Diceros bicornis minor: one gene and its partner. Each later gene encodes a partner of the first gene's protein in a complex. Links are inferred from orthologs where the notes say so. Each region holds a gene or a part of one and is shown in the gene's direction. Other genes may lie near its edges.

What was found.
Region 2: the proteins of NGFR (region 1) and ARHGDIA are in contact, whole or in part, in an NMR structure (PDB 8X8T), measured with the Homo sapiens proteins. The link is inferred for Diceros bicornis minor from reciprocal best matches to the Homo sapiens genes NGFR and ARHGDIA. Residues at the interface, in NP_002498.1 of Homo sapiens: Arg274, Trp275, Ser277, Cys278, Lys279, Gln280, Lys282, Gln283, Gly284, Ala285, Ser287, Arg288, Pro289, Val290, Asn291, Gln292, Thr293, Pro294, Pro295, Pro296, Glu299, Lys300, Leu301, Ile307, Ser308, Val309, Gln312, Ser313, Asp316, Gln317; in NP_001172006.1 of Homo sapiens: Ala8, Glu9, Leu11, Ala12, Gln13, Ile14, Ala15, Ala16, Glu17, Asn18, Glu19, Glu20, Asp21, Glu22, Val25, Pro30, Ala31, Gln32, Lys33, Ile35, Gln36, Glu37, Ile38, Gln39, Glu40, Leu41, Asp42, Lys43, Asp44, Asp45.

The regions. Positions count from the first base shown.
Region 1 is NC_080757.1:36,665,586-36,673,665, reverse strand, and holds the start of NGFR (tumor necrosis factor receptor superfamily member 16), read left to right. Parts: upstream 1-4,428; 5' UTR 4,429-4,493; coding exon 4,494-4,562; intron 4,563-8,080. UniProt on the Homo sapiens protein: Low affinity receptor which can bind to NGF, BDNF, NTF3, and NTF4. Forms a heterodimeric receptor with SORCS2 that binds the precursor forms of NGF, BDNF and NTF3 with high affinity, and has much lower affinity for mature NGF and BDNF.
Region 2 is NC_080757.1:61,197,180-61,204,946, reverse strand, and holds the start of ARHGDIA (rho GDP-dissociation inhibitor 1), read left to right. Parts: upstream 1-4,330; 5' UTR 4,331-4,429; intron 4,430-4,769; exon of another isoform or gene 4,770-5,006; intron 5,007-5,972; 5' UTR 5,973-5,999; coding exon 6,000-6,189; intron 6,190-6,323; coding exon 6,324-6,407; intron 6,408-6,735; coding exon 6,736-6,812; intron 6,813-6,895; coding exon 6,896-6,959; intron 6,960-7,154; coding exon 7,155-7,354; 3' UTR 7,355-7,397; exon of another isoform or gene 7,398-7,673; 3' UTR 7,674-7,767. UniProt on the Homo sapiens protein: Controls Rho proteins homeostasis. Regulates the GDP/GTP exchange reaction of the Rho proteins by inhibiting the dissociation of GDP from them, and the subsequent binding of GTP to them.

The DNA.
Region 1 (8,080 bases):
TGGACATTAGAACTGGAGGACAGGGGAGGTGATTCTCCCAAAGCAGGAGAAATGAGTGCTCGCTAAGGGAACTTCGAAATCACGCTTTGGATCAGAAGGCAGAGGTGATGCCCTGCTTGCCTCCACCCATCCTACCCCAGCCCCAAGCCCGGATTCTGTGAATGCGTGTCGGGAGGGGGCATCTGAGTGGTAGCATTGAAGGGCACAGTGCAGTCCCTCTGACCTGCAGGTTCTATCTCCCCAACTCCTTGGGGTGAAGGCTGGATGGGCTGGGATGGAGGGGAGGAGTGACTGTAACATGGGGGTTAGCATGGAGAAGCGTGGCTGTGGACGGCCTTGTGCGGGACAGTGGCCACTTACGGTACCATGGCTGCCTTCCGGGGGTCCTTGGACAAGTGACTTAACCTCTTCAAGCCTCAGTCTCTTCATCTGTAGAATGGTGATCTCAGTGCCTCCTTCATGGTTTTGCAGTGGGGATTAAGGAAGAGAATTGTGTGGATCTCAATAAACCTGAGTTCTCCTCTCTCATTTCTGCTCGGAAGTGCGTTGGGGCTGCAGGCTGGTTCCCCAGTGACTGCTGGGGACGGGTACCGGGAGCTGTGAGCAATGTTCTGCAGAGGTGAAGGGTCCCAGTGGAGCAGGAGGACAGGGAGTGTGTGTTAGGAGCTTGCCTTCCTGGAGGGGCAGGGTGACGGAGCTGTGGTGGGATGAATAGGAGAGGAGCAAACCCCTCCCATTTCTACTCCTGAAGGTGCAGTTTGACCCACCATGACCTTCCCAGCCCCATGTAGAACTGCGTTGCTATTCTCCACCCTTTACCTTGGGGTCACTATTAGGTCCAGGAAGCCTTGGTGTGTGAGTGGTGGAAGGAGGGACCCTCTATCTGTATAGCTCTGTTATGGGAGATGGTTCTGGGGGACCCTTCAATGAAAACTTCTGCCCCTGGGCGCTGCCTGTCTGGTCCCACTTGCTGGTCAGCTCCTAAGGGCCGCTTCCCCATGCCCTATCCCACAGCTGTGGCTGCAGGTGCTGAGGATTAGGGGAGAGGGGCTGGGTCAGGGAGAAATTTTTGAAGGACACTCAATTTGGGGCCATGACCATTAGGGAGGTAGGCTCAGGCAGCAGTGGCTCCATATGGCCTCTGATATCGTTCCAAGGACAAGGGATGGACCCAAGTATCCAGCATCCCTTAGGAACAGGAATCCCTGCTGCTGCTGCTGGTGCAGATGTTGGAAGGCAGGTGGTGGTGGTGGCCACGGCCGTGGCGGTCGTAGGATGATGGGGATGGTGGGGATGATGCTGTGGGAGTCACAGTAGTGATGGGGATGACTGTGGGATTGGTAGCTGTGGGGGTTCTGGCAGTGATGCTGGCGTCATGGCGATGGGGGTCACAGTGGTGCTGGTTTTGGTATATATGTCACATTATAAAATAGCCCTTCACATCAAATAACTAACACACTAGGACATCAGCTCCACGAGGGCAGCTGCTACTGTTCGCTGCTGTATCCCCAGCACCTGGAACAGTGTGTGGCACATAGTAGCTGCTCAAGAAGTAGGTGTTGAACAAGTAAAAGTGGATTGAGTCTCTCCTTGTGCTGAACACCATTGTCTCTTTTGTTCTTCACCACGCTCATTCTATTTAGGATCTTTTTTGTGTGTGTGTGTGAGGAAGATCAGCCCTGAGCTAACATCCATGCCAATCCTCCTCTTTTTGCTCAGGAAGACTGGCCCCAGGCTAACATCTGTGCCCATCTTCCTCCACTTTATATGGGACGCCGCCACAGCATGGCCTGACAAGCAGTGCATCGGTGCGCGCCCAGGATCTGAACCCGGGCCGCCAGCACTGGAGCATGGCACTTAACCACTACACCATGGGGCTGGCCCCTAGGATCTTTTTTTGAATTCCCATTTTATAGAAGAGGAAATGGAGGCTGAGAGAGATCACATAACCTGCCTAAGACTACACAGGAGTAAGAGATGTGGGGCGGGGTGGGGGGTGTAGGCGTTTATGGCCAGGCCTGTCTGACTCTCAGTTCAGTGCTCTTTCCTCTCTGCACTTCGCAGCCTCTCTCCCACCAGCACTCAGCATTACATCGTGGTCTTGTGCTGGGGCTTAATCATAGAAATACTGCTAATAATAGTAACAATTGCTGTTTGTAATTGTTCGAGTAAGGCTTAAAAGATCAGGACCATGGGGCCGGCCCGGTGGCGCAAGCGGTTAAGTGCGCGCGCTCCGCTGCGGCGGCCCGGGGTTCGCTGGTTCGGATCCCGGGCGCGCACCGAAGTACTGCTTGGTAAGCCATGCTGTGGCGGCGTCCCATATAAAGTGGAGGAAGATGGGCACCGATGTTAGCCCAGGGCCGTCTTCCTCAGCAAAAAAAGAGGAGGATTGGCGGATGTTAGCTCAGGGCTGATCTCCTCACAAAAAAAAAAAAAAAAAAAAAAAAAAAGATCAGGACCATGGAAATTATTAATAACACGGGCCCAGCCATGGTAGTGTGGGTCATAGTAAATCGTGTTGAGATGGATAACCTTGGCAATAATAGTAACCAGGATCATAAATTAATAACAGAAGTATTTAAATTAATGCCACACTGTTGATACCCTTGGTAGTAAGCAGCTCGATGCTGCTGTTAGTACTGCCGCCCCTTCCTGCCTTCCATGAATTCAGCTGAGAGGAAAGGCAGGGCCATAAAAGCAGCGGGAGGAGGAGACAGCTTAGAGGGTTAGAGGTCCCTGTCCAGGAGGAAGGAATCCTCAGGGACTTCTGAGGAGGGGCTAGCTGCCTGGCCTCATGCCCAGCCATGGAGTATCGGCTCATCCACATTCATGTTCAAGGCCACAGTAATGTCTACGTGTCCTTTCTGGGGCTGTCCCCTGGACTTTGTTGGTTACACAAGAAAGAAATTCACAGGGTAGATTTTTTCGTTCGTGAATGAATGAGTTAGCTTCAGCTGATCTAGGAAGTCACCTACCAAAGCCAGCATGCCCTCTTCACCTGTACACTTGATCTCCCCCTTCTTCCTGAAATGTGGGAGGGTACTACTATTTTTTTCAAAGTAGAAACTGAGGTCCACACATAGCCAAGATCAGGGGGCGAGGATGGGCTTTGTAGACTTGCTCCCCACTGCTCTGTGCTCCAGGGCCTTCACATCCGGGAACCAGGAATGGCTGAGGACAGGCAGGCGGTGAGCATCCTGGTGGCAGAGGTGGTGGTTCACACCAAAAGACTGGTGGCACACTCCCTGGGTTGCAGGGGCCTATGATCAGACCTGCCAAGGTTTCTAGGGCGCGGTAAGTGTGGTCCTGGGGACGCCTACATAGTACATGGATGTGAGTCCATCCAACCACTTTTCCATTTATTCCCTTCTACAGACCTTCACTGAACACCAATGGAATCATAAGCCAATGGAAACACCCACAGTCTGGTGAAGGCTATATTGTTGAGGATACACCTTTGTGTTTGTGTATGGGTGTAAATGTGCGTGTGTTCACGAATGTGTGTGCACTTGTGTGAAAGACTATACATGTGAGAGCTTGTGTGGAAGTGACTGCACATGTACATATGTGGATATGTAGGTGAGTGTGCGTTTGAATGTTATGACCACGTGCAATGAGTGTGCATGTGTGCCTGAGTGTGGAGGTGCACACGCACGTGTAGAACGTGCAGATCCACACGAGCGCCTGAGGATGGTGTGGGCATATGTGGTGCGTAAGGACATATATATGTGAGCTTGAGAGAGCGTGTATTCTTGTGTTTTGTGTGCACACCTGTGACCCCTTCAAACCCATCTTTTGAGAATTCAAATGATGTCGGGATGGACGCCACCTTGAATGTCCCGGCTGCACATGGTCGAGGTCAAGCCACCTGCTACCGTTCCCCTCCCGCTAGGCCTTTGCACGGAGAACCCCCTCACCCTGGGAAGGGGCAGGGGTAGGGGTCGGGTATGGACCAGAAGATGAAGGGCAGGGCGGGCAGTGGGCATTCTTGACGATAAAGGCTGGGTAGAGAGCAGGAGACCGGGGAAGAAGCTGAAGCCAGAGGCAGAGGAAGACGGGTAAGAGAGTGAACCCTGCGGGGAGCCGCAGTGGGGACGCCCTGGTCCCCAAGCCGCAGCATCCGGGACGGACGCGCAGTAGCGCGGGCCGGGCACTGGGTACCGGGCCAGGGTTGGGGAGCGGCTCTGAAGGCCAGGGCGTGGAGAAGCGGCAGCGGGGCGCGCGGGCGCGGCTCCCCGCATGCCCTCCCTTCGCCTCCTCTCCCCTCCCTGAGGCGGCGTGGCGGGCGGGCGCGGTTCCGGGGGTGGGCCGGCTGGATGGGGAGGAGGCGGGGCCGCCGCACTGGCTTCTCTCAGCCCCTCCCGCCCGCAGCCAGAGTGAGCGGAGCCTCGGCCAGCTCCGGGGGGCGGGTGCTGGAGTGCAGCGCCGCGCAGCCCTATCCGTCCGCGGAGCGGACTGAACTGGAAGCCGAGCGCTGCCGCGGGAAGCAGGCGATGGGGGCAGGTGCCGCCGGCTGCGCCATGGACGGGCCGCGCCTGCGGCTGCTGCTTCTGCTCTTGGGGGTGAGTACTAGCCGAAAGGGAGCCCGCTCCCTTTCCTGGAACCGGGACCCCGATGGTTCAGGTTTCCCCGAGGGAAAACAAAACAGAGCGTTGAGGTCCCAGATGCTGGGGATGGATGGCGGGAGAGGAGCTCCCGTTAGGATCCACGGAGGAGCGTCTAGGGTTCTCAGAGCGCAGAGGCGACCCTGAGATCCAGGGTAGAGATGCGAGCAAGAGGGGCGCACGGATGCAGGTCCTCCGGTACCGCGGTGTGTGTGGAGGAGCTGGGAGGAGTCTCTTAGGAGGGGGTCCTGGGGCTCTCGGATGTCTGAGTTCTTCGGAAGAGGGCGCTTGAATGCCGGGATCTCGAGGCGACTTTCTCCCTGAGCATCTTGATCTCTGAAGGGTCAAGGGAAGGAACCCAGGCTAGAAAAGGAGGAGGAATGGGACGGGGACTAGAGATGTGAGGGGCGAGCGGGGCTGGGGCGGGGAACCAGAGACGAGGGGATGCAACAATGAGAGAGGAGGTTGGAGGGACTGGAGGCAGAGGGGACCGGGCATCGGACAATGCGGACCGGCCAGACAATGGGGGGGAGGGGCGTGGGAGGGAAAGGTTCGAGGAGCGAGGGTCAGTTGAAGAGACGGTAGAAATTGATTAAGGAGGGTAGAAAAGGGCCGACGGCAAGGGAGGTAGAGAGATGGAAGCAAAAGGAAAGAAGACGGAGAAGGGAGAGAGGACTCTAAAGTGGTCGGGGACTCGCCTGCCCACCAAGGGACAGTGGGACGAGAAGAGAGAGTAGAGGCACGGATGTTTCCCGCGTCTGTCGCGCGCTCTTTCTCGCAACCTCGCCCAGTCGGGAAATTGCGGCTGGGGATCCGAGGTTGGGAAGAGAGCGCCCGCTTCGTCGGGGCGAACCCGCTCCCTCGGTTCCCCCACGACCGGCGGGCTCCTCCGACGCGCTTATTCTCGCAGTCTGAAGCAGGGCCGCGGACCGGAAGGGATGGAGCGGGCGTCATCCGACCCGGTCTGGCCGCCGCCACATTGCGGAGTGCAGAGCGCCGGGACGCGCAAGGCTGGGAACGTCCCGGCAGCTCGCAGCCCCGGGTCGCGCAGGCGGAGGCGGCCCGCAGGGGGCGCTGCGGCGCGAGGGCTGTGCCATCCGCTGCTGCCGGCGCGACTGGGGCCGCGCGCCGCCCCCCGCGAGGATCCCGCATTAAGTTAAACGGCCCGAGCGCTGTCCCCAAGGTTCGCTCCGCTCCAGCGGTCGGGATTCTCCCCGCGCCCTGCCCAACTCTCGGTGGAAGATGCTGGGCACCGAACCAGACGGAGGCGCTCGGACGCCTCGGATTCTGTCTCGGCAAAGGACCGCGGGTCCTCGTAAGCATCTAAGTCCGCCTGGTAGTTCTGACCAGATTTCCAGGATATGTGACCTGGTGTGTGGCCATGAACCAAGTGCCCTGGAAGGTTTGGCAATGGAGGAAGTGTCCTCACCCTCCTTGCCATCTTCTTCTCTCATCTGAGCATTGCGCTCCCAAATCCCCGTTTTTACAGATAAGGAGACTGAGGATCTGAGACTTTAAACGACTTGGCCAAGATCCTACAAGCAAGTTGAGCCAGAGTCCTAGCTAGACTGCCCCGCACCTGAGTCCCAGCTTGGTACTCCCCGTACCTCTTAGGGGCAGCCTGGCGTCCCAGCTCCGGATAAGAGCTGCGTTTCTCGGCGTGGGGGGGGTGGTGGTGCTGGACACCATCCGCTGAGTCAGGCGGGCGGTGGAATATGGGGGCTGGGGTGGCCCCATCCCCGAAGCTCAGTCCCGGTTCCCTGGAGCTGTCGGTACCTGTGGCTTCGTCCGGGGATTTGCGAGTGACTGCGGGCACGTTTGCTGACTAACGCCATGGGTTGGAGATGCTTCTCGGCCGGGGAGGGGCGGGGGAGGGGGACTGGAGCGGCCAGCAGTGCGGATCCGCGAGGGGCGAGGGCGTGGGCTCCGGACCGGGGCTGGAGAGAGTGTCGTCCGAGTAGAGAAGAGGCGTGGAAGGAGGGGAGCTGGGCGTGGAGGGCCTGGGGGCTCGGGAAGATGGACCCGGTGCAGAACCTGCCGCCCGCAGCGCCTGCGGCTCTCGCCTCCGCCTCGCCGCGGGGCTGCTGTCTATGGGCTGGCTTTGCGCACCGCGGCGGTCCGCGTTTCTTCCTGGGCCGGGGCGAGAGAGTGCTGAAACCAGAGCGCGTCCCGGCGGGTCGGCTGGCGGGCCGCGCCGGTAATGGAGGCACTTTGTCATTCAGACGTCTGTAACCGGAGCCGCCGGGCTGGCTAATGCGCCTAATAGGGACACAGCGAGGGCAGCAAATGAGAGGAGGAGGCTCCAGGAGGGAAGGGGTCCCTACCCCGCTGTACCAGCCAGGTCCCGCTCAAGCGCCTAGATTCTTCCCTAGGGGTGCGGGCTGGGGAGGCGGGAATAATAAAATTTGTTGAGGTCCTGCTGTGTGCGACGCACTGACCTGGGTAATTTATCTTGCGTTATCTAATGCTTATAAGGTCCCAGCAGAGTACCTAGTTATTCCCATTTTACATTTGAGGGAGCTGAAGCTCCTAGACTTTCAGGCACGAAGCCAGGCTCCCCCAGTTAGTAAGTGGTGGCGCCCTTGTTGGAATCCAGGATGCTTGGCTCGGAGCTTATTCTTTTCCTCCTTATGCCAGGCTCCTCCCCACCCCACCCCAGCCATCATTTCACGAGGAACATGTGGCCCTGAACGACCACTAACCCTGGAGATTAGATCTGTGTCCTATGCCCTTGGCACCAAGAACTTGGAACTGAGCCCCTTCTCCCCACTCAGAGCCCCTGCCCCCTACAAAGTCTTCAGGTAACATCATCCTCAGAAGTTAGCTCTTGTCTCCCACCCCAAACTCAACTCCTATCTACAGGGGTGGGGGCCAGGTGCCAGTGCTGCCCCTGGTTTTGCATCCACCTCAGAAGACCCTCCATGTATTTGAAAACTCTCCAACCCCACAGCAGCGACTAATGGCTCCATTCACCTAAGGAACCCTTTGCTGAAGCTGTTGTGAATGGTTAAGATTTATCACTGAAGCATTCATGTAGTTTCAAAGTCTTTCAACTATGTTGGTGTGTTTTCTATTTTGTCCAATTTTTAAAAATTTTTAAGATTCGTGAAAGTCAATTCATCTAAGAGTATTTCCAACTTCATTTCTTGAAAGCCTTGAAATGGCAAAAAAGATTGCAAACATTCTCGAAAATGGGATGAAGTCATTCCATCAAATTGGAAATGAATAAAAGTGTAATATATGTAAATTTCAGACAAATGTGTCTATCATTTTGGTAAATTGATCATTTTGGAGGAAATACCCCAAATCCTAGTCATCTCTCCCTGCTTCTCAAGATTGCCCCACCTCCTCCCAACAGGGGGTGTGGCAGGGGCCATGCATCAGGTCACTTAGCAAAGCTACCTCTATGGGCCTCAGTTTCCCCATCTGTCAGAGAGGGGATGAAGGCAATCCCTCAAGTCTTTCCCCTTCAGCAT
Region 2 (7,767 bases), about 25 Mb from region 1:
GCAACTAGACTTCTTGGCATCAGTGGCAGCTGGGGGCTAGTTATCTGCTGGTCGTAACTTCCTTACAGGCATTCTTTTTCCTCGGTAAGACAAGCTCATAAATCCTTGTGACCACTGAGTCACCCCTCTGGTTAAATAAGAAAACAGCAAATTAGGGGCCGACCCCGTGGCATAGCGGTTAAGTGTGTGCACTCTGCTGCTGGCGGCCCGGGTTTGGATCCCGGGCGCACACCGACACACGGCTTGTCAGGCCATGCTGTGGTGGCATCCCATATAAAGTGGAGGACCATGGGCACAGATGTTAGCTCAGGGCCAGTCTTCCTCAGCAAAAAGAGGAGGATTGGCAACAGATGTTAGCTCATGGCTGATCTGCCTCACACACACACACTAAATAAATAAACAAATAAATATTTTTTAAAAAAAGAAAGAAAGAAAACAGCAAATTAACAAGATACAATGATGCCTGGGCTGTGAAGCAAGCATTTGAGCTCAACAAATACATCTAACAGAGATTGAGGTTATTTATTCACTTCTTTTCTTCTGTGTCTGTGTTGGGAACAAGGTCAGAGGGTAACCATGTTCTTATGGAGTATTTACAGTAGCCCTCAGGTACCCCGTCTCAGTGTCAAAGCTGGGGTGCTGGGGTGCGGCATTGCCAATCGAGTTCCTGCCGTGGGAGACTCTACAGGACAAGTGACCCCGGTCCTTCAACAGGACACTACATGGAGCAAAGAGAGGACAATCCTATTGATTAAGACACATACCAACTAACTGCAATGTGTGAAACAATTTGATTCTGATTCAAACAAAAAGTAAAAGAACTCACAATAAAATCAGGAAAATACTGGTTGGATCTTTACTGATATTTAGGACTTGTGTTACTTTTCTTGGTTAGTATCCCAGGTACTTTCTGCTCTATAAGAATTACCTCCCAAACTTGGTGTAAAACAAGCACCATTTTGTTACGTTCACGGATTCTGTAGGTCAGGGGGTGAGACAGGATGGTCTGTCGGGCACTGTTGGGCAGGTCTTCTGGGTCTTTAGCCTCAATTTTCAGGTTAAGAGAAGCCAGACCCCCAACCTCGCCCTCACCTGGGTCCTGAGCTGAAGCCACAACGGGATGAGACTTTGGGGGATCCTGGGAAGTGTTGTGTTTTACAGGAGAGGAACGTGGGTCCTTGTGGCTAGAATAAAGATGGCCACACAGTCTTTCCTTCTCTTCCCACTGAAAGGTGGAGTCTAACTCTCTGACTTTGAACTTGGGCTGGCCCAACTCATGGGCTTGGCCAGCAGAGAGCCACACAAGTTTGGTTCTGGCACTTCTGAGTGGGCTCACATGAAGCCCGGTGAACAAGCCTCTCAGAACTTGCTCTTGGAGTCCAGCTGCCAAGATCCCATGGGCGTTGTGCTGGAGGTCCTCAAGTTGACAGCCCCAGGGGAGTGCTGTATGACAGGGCCCTCTTGGCCGGCCACCTTCATTTGGCTGCAGCACGACTCAATCTGACCGACACTGCATGAGAGCCCCAGCTGAGTTCACGCAGCCCCCAGAATAGGAGAGAGAATCGTGACTCGCTGCTCCAAGCCACCGCATTTGGAGTGGTTTGTTATATAGCAGTAGAGACAAGGACCCAGCGGGATAATGGTGCTATGGCTATTGTTCACCCTAAAAAAGGATCCTTTTCCTTAGAAATAAATACATACTGAAATATTTATGGTGGAAATGACTTCTGGGGGTTGCTTCAAACTTGCTGCGTGGGGGGAGGTGAGGCACAGATGAAACAAGATCAGTCACGAGCTGATACCCGTTGAGGCTGGATGGTCTGTCCACTTGGGTTCATAATACCATTCTTTCTACAGTATTTTGGTGCATGTGGTGGGCCGCCTTCAAGACAACCCCAACGGTGCCGCTGCCTCCTGGTCCTCAGGCCCCTGTGTCCCCTCTCACCCGGTGCCAGGAGAGGTTTGTGTGACCAATCTAGTAGGGCGGAGCTAGGGCACTGCTAAGGTTAGATTGTAAGACACCTTGGCTTCATCTTCAGTGCTTGCTGTTTCCCTGGCTCTTGTTCTTTCTGTCTCTGTCTGTCTGTCTGTTTGTCTGTCTCTGAGGCCTCACATGGGGAAAGCCAGCTGCCCTGTTGTGAGCAGCCCTACGGAGTGGCCAGAGCCGTAGGTGGCAGAGAACTAAATCCTCCAGCCAACAGCCCACAAGGAACTGAGCCTCCTGCCCACAGTGCCTGCATTAGCTTGGAGTTCCAGCACATCTTCAGGGACCACAACCTCATGAGAGACCTGGAGCCAGAACCAACCCGCTAAGCTGCTCCCTGATCCTCAGAAACCATGCAAAATAATAAACGGTTGTTGTTTTAAGCTGCTGAATTTCAGGGTACATTTTTACACAGTAATAGATTACTAATAACATGTATGTTTGAAATTTTCTATAATAGAGTTTGGTTTTTTTAAAAGCACTTGGGTTATCCGAAAGCCAACTTTTCCTCAACCAGCGACTCAGACAGCAGTGCAGGGGGACAGTCCGCTGTGGTATTCCAAGTTTACAATGACAAGAAGCCTCAGAAGCAACATAGTGAATACCCAATTAGAATGCTCTGCTTTCCGCCAACTAAACTTTGTACACATAAAGCTGACAGTGCAACTCCTAGTTACAGAAAATAAGCAAATATTCCTCAAAAATTGAGAAATTTCCAGAAGATACCAAAGTCAGTATTTTGCATTAAGTTCAATTTCTGAAAATGCCCTCCTACGTACAATGCAGTTGTGTGTATATGTGTGTTTGTGACAACTTCTGTCTTGGCCTGGGTTCCCTGCCTTTGTGGAGCTTAACAGTCATTATAGGTGGCATGAACTCATTACCACCTTATTACAATTCTACAAATGCTACAGGCTGGAGGTGTGGAGCCGTTAGGGGCTTGGACCCCACAAGAAGAAAGAGGAGTGCTGGGCTGGGGTTTGGGCACTCCGGCCTTCAGGCAGACCAGCCCCGGGCCAGACCAGCCCCATTTTATGAGGCCCCTCCTGGTGCTACAAAATGTTCCTTGATTTAGCATGTGGGCAAATGTCTGAAGTCTGCCAACAATTGGAGCACACAAACGGAGAATTCTTGGGTCTGTGATGAATAGCAGACTGAGAAAATCATGTCATCTGTGCCAAGAGCTTCCAAAGTCACAAGAGTCAAGGAATTCCGCAGTGACATGTTTTTTCCCTGAAGTGATGCTCATGGCAAGGAAACCAAATGTGCTGAGCCCCCAAGAATGTTGATTTAGTCTGGAAAAAAAAAGCCTGAGGGCTGCAGGCCTGGGGCAGCTCTGAGCCTGTGTATGCTTCTGGCCATCCAGCCGTGTTCTTCAGGAGGGGACAGTGGGGCAGAGGGCCACCAGCATAGCCTTGGACAGGTTACAAAGATACCAAGAGAGGCCCCAGAGCCCAGGCTCAGGCCAGGGGTGACCTGGACACCGGTAAAAAATAAAAAAACTACAGGCCCAAGGTGGAGTCACTTGCCCCCAGGACCGGAAACCAAGACTTAATTGCAGTTTCACCCCCTCCCAGGAATGTAACCTTACCAGTCGGGAAATTCCTGATCAACAATAGTGAGGTCATCTGCCTGCTAAGACCCCTGCCGCCCTTCCCCCAAAGAAAGGTGATCTTGCCTGAAAGCATCTTTTCTTTCCTTTTGCTAATTACTTTCTTGTCCCACCTAGTTTCTTCCTATAAAAATCTTCTTTTGTACAACCCTTCGGAAGGCCTGTTTATTAAATGGGATGCTGCCTGATCCATAAATCCTTGAATAAAGCCAATTAGATCTTCAAATTTTCTCGGTTGGAATTGTTTTTTAACACCACCCACGGAGCGTTCTTTGAGTGGTTAACGTGAGCTGATCGAAGAAGGTCCAGCGTTAACTTCCGAGAGGGTCACGATGGCGAGAGGACGCGAGAGGCCGGCTCAGGTGGGAGGGCGGCCGTCGGCTGGCCTCGGGTGGACCCTGCCGTGCACGCGGAGATGTTCCAGAGCTTTACAGACGTGCCTTACAGCACCTCGCGGAAATGCCACGACGTACGTGGGGCGTGAGCAAGACCGTGACACCGCCCGTCCCTCTACTTTGCGGGCTGACCCGTGGGGACGGCCGGGACCGGAAAATGCTTGCAGCAAAAGGCGCAAAACTACCAACTGGGACCGGACTTCCTAGGCGTCCCGAGCCCGCCCGCCGCCCACACGGGACGCACCCACCACACCAGCCCGGCAAGATGGCACCGGCACGCTCCCGGCAGACCCGCGCGCCCGCGCATGCGCCCTGGCGTGTGGCGCGAGCGGAAGTCGCGTGACCCCGGAAGTGGCCGGCCGGGAGCGCGCGGGCGGGGCGGCGACGTTCGTCGTTCCGTGCGGGAGGGAGCGCGAGAGCTGCGCAGTCGAACCTCCGGTGAGCGCCACGGCGGGACGGCGGCGGCAGGCGGGGCGGCGGCAGCGGCAGCGGCAGGGAGGCGCGGGGGCCGCGCCTTTGTTCGCTCCGCCTGCCGTGGGGTCTGCGCGGGGCTGGGGCGGCGGTGACAGCCGGCGGAGGCCGGGCCGCAGGGCGGGCCCACGTGCGGCGCGGGCCAGGGGCGCGGACCGGGGGCTTAGGCCTCCTTTGTGGCCGCCGCCCGTACCCCGCGGCCCCTCCCCGCCGGCGTGCGCCGACCGGAGCTAGGCTGACGTCCCCTTCTCCGGGGCACCGCGCCCCACCCCGCGCCGCGCCCGGCCCAGATTGCGGGGCCCTGCGGAAGTGCGGCCGCGGCGATCGCCCTAGAGGATCCTGTCGCCTGCGGCCGCACTTAGTGACATTAGGGCGTGAGCCTTGTAGAGGAATTCCAGAGGAAGCGGCAGGGAGGCCTGGGAAAGCGGGCAGGCCCCACCCCGCCTGGGGCGGCCGGCGGCTCGGGGATCCCTGCGGCCCTTTGTGAGATCTGGTCCTCGGGCGAGTCCCAGCTGCCAGCCTGGGCCTGTGGGGAAAGGCTTTGGTAATCTTTCCTGGGCAATCTGAGGCCTGGGGTGGGCTGGGCCTTGACCCATCTCCTACACCACCCGGACCTATCTGAGTGGGTTCCAGACACTCCTCAGGAAGTCTCTGGGCTTGCAATGGGATTTTTAGCTGAAGGAAGCCCAGCGGCTGCCTCATGCAGTGCTCCCCGCTCTGAGAGTGCTGCTCCAGACTCGCCTGGGCCAGGATCCAGAAAAAGGGTCTTGAAAATACTGGAGCTGCTGCAGCAGTTCCCAAATTGTAGGTCACAGACTCTCACGATTGGAGAGAACGTTGGCAGACTCTTAGGATCCCCTGTGCCCTTTTGGGACCTACATGTGGGAGTCAGGCTGGCCTCATCATCTGAGCTGTAGGAGAGCCCTGTGTTTGCAGGATGAGGCAGAACTGACCTGTGTCCTGCACAGAGGCCTTGCTTCCTGGCTAGGACAGGGCAGAAGGAGCATGCCTGGTCCTAGGGAGCCGGGTCTCCCTGACCCAGTGGGAGGAGTCCCGTGGGGCGAGGGCCTGAGCAGCTCAGAAAGAGCAGCAGGACTTCAGAGGTGACAGTTGGGGGTCTGCCGGCAGGGCTGGGGTCCTGCCTCCTCCTTGGGGGCGGCAGAGGTGTGCCTGGTCTCCCAGAGGAGCAGGCTGCGGGTTCCATTTAGTCCTGGGTACTGTACCTAGGCTGGGGTCCTCTCAGACTGCCCCAGTGGGTCCCCTGAGATGGGCAGGGCGAGGAGGCAAGTATAGCCCCGCTGGGTTCAGGAGCCTATGTCTGGGTTCTGGCTGCAGGCTGCCCTCCTGCTCTAGAAGGTGCACCTCTCTTTGGGCCGAGATACGGGGCCTGGCCACCTGTGGAGCAGCCTTCGACACAGCCCGCCTGAGCTGGCTGCAGGGCCCGCTGAGGGGCGGGAGGGGGGAGACATTGTGGGTCCCTCCAGGCTGCCACAGCCCGCCTGGCCCACAGGTGTCCCAGACCCAGCGAGAGGTGAGCATGGCCGAGCAGGAGCCCACAGCAGAGCAGCTGGCACAGATTGCAGCTGAGAACGAGGAAGACGAGCACTCGGTCAACTACAAGCCCCCGGCCCAGAAGAGCATCCAGGAGATTCAGGAGCTGGACAAGGACGATGAGAGTCTGCGCAAGTACAAGGAGGCCCTGCTGGGCCGTGTGGCTGTGTCTGCTGGTGAGTGGGTTGGGGTCACACAGAGGGATACCTTGTCACTCTTCTGGGTTTCTGCTGCTGCTGCCCCCTGGTGGCAAGTTATGGGTGTGTGGGAGGCCCAGGGGGTGGAGCACTAACCTGCTGTCACTCCACAGACCCCAACGTCCCCAATGTAGTCGTGACCCGCCTGACCCTGGTGTGTAGCACCGCCCCGGGCCCCCTGGAGCTTGACCTGACAGGTGAGTGGCACCTTTGAGGTCTCTGGCTGGGGCTGCCTGGCACCCCCACCCCTGCTTTCTCTAAATATAGTTTCCTGGAGCTCTGCCACCCTCTCGTGGGGAGAACAAGAAGTGCAGCCAAGCGGTCTTTGAAGTTGCTGGTTTTGGAGTGATCTGGGTCCTAGGTTGGGGGTGCCAAGGGCTATGTGTGCAGGGGCAGGGGAGACGGGGAGTAGAAGGGGCATCCCGCCAGGGCCCAGATGGCAGCGGGCAGTCACAGATGGGAGATGCCGAAGTGAGTGGCTTCTGCTGGCTGAGCCCCCTAGTGTGGTGTTCCTCCCAAATACAGGTGATCTGGAGAGCTTCAAGAAGCAGTCATTTGTGCTGAAGGAAGGTGTGGAATACCGGATAAAAATCTCTTTCCGGGTAAGGCAGAGGCTGTGGCAGGGGCCGGGAGGGGCCAGGGCTGGAGAGCCCGGCTGAGCCTTGCCTGGGGTCCCTCCCTGCAGGTGAACCGAGAAATTGTGTCCGGCATGAAGTACATCCAGCACACATACAGGAAAGGCGTCAAGAGTGAGTGAGGGTGGGCACCAGACCCCAGCCTCTAAGAGAGAGATGGCTGCCTCTTGGCTGGCTCAGGGCAAAGGGCTTAGGGACCAGGAGGGAGACAGGAAAGGCAGTGTGTGCCCTCGGCCCAGCTCTGCTCCCTGGCAGCTGCCCGGGCAGAGGTGAGCCACACTGATGACCAGTGCATTCTCTGCATTACAGTTGACAAGACTGACTACATGGTGGGGAGCTACGGGCCCCGGGCAGAGGAGTACGAGTTCCTGACTCCCATGGAGGAGGCGCCCAAGGGCATGCTGGCTCGAGGCAGCTACAACATCAAGTCGCGTTTCACAGATGATGACAAGACTGATCACCTGTCCTGGGAGTGGAACCTCACCATTAAAAAAGAGTGGAAGGACTGAGTCCTGGGTCCGGGAGGCAGGCAGGATGGACAGACGGACGGACGTACGCACCCCACCCCTACCACCCCACACCCCCTTCCTGACCCCATACCAAAGTGCTGACAGGGCCCTTGGCCACGCTGCCATCATTCCCACCTTGTCTGCCTCCTGGTCGGGCCCAGGCAGAGCTCCTCCAGCCTTTCCCTCCCAACCCTCCCCAGCCAGCAGGCCCCAGCCTCCTGGGTGGTCTCGTGGTCTCGTGTTGTTGCTGCTTCCGCCTGTGCTGTGGGGAAGGGAGGCTCCAGCCCAGGCCTCTGCCTCCTTTTCTGTATTTCTCCAGGTTCCCCAACCTGTGCTAACCTGACCTGAGGCCCTGACTTTTCCAAGGGAGTGGGACATCCAGCGGGCTCTCGTGGGGTGCTCAGGTTCCCCTG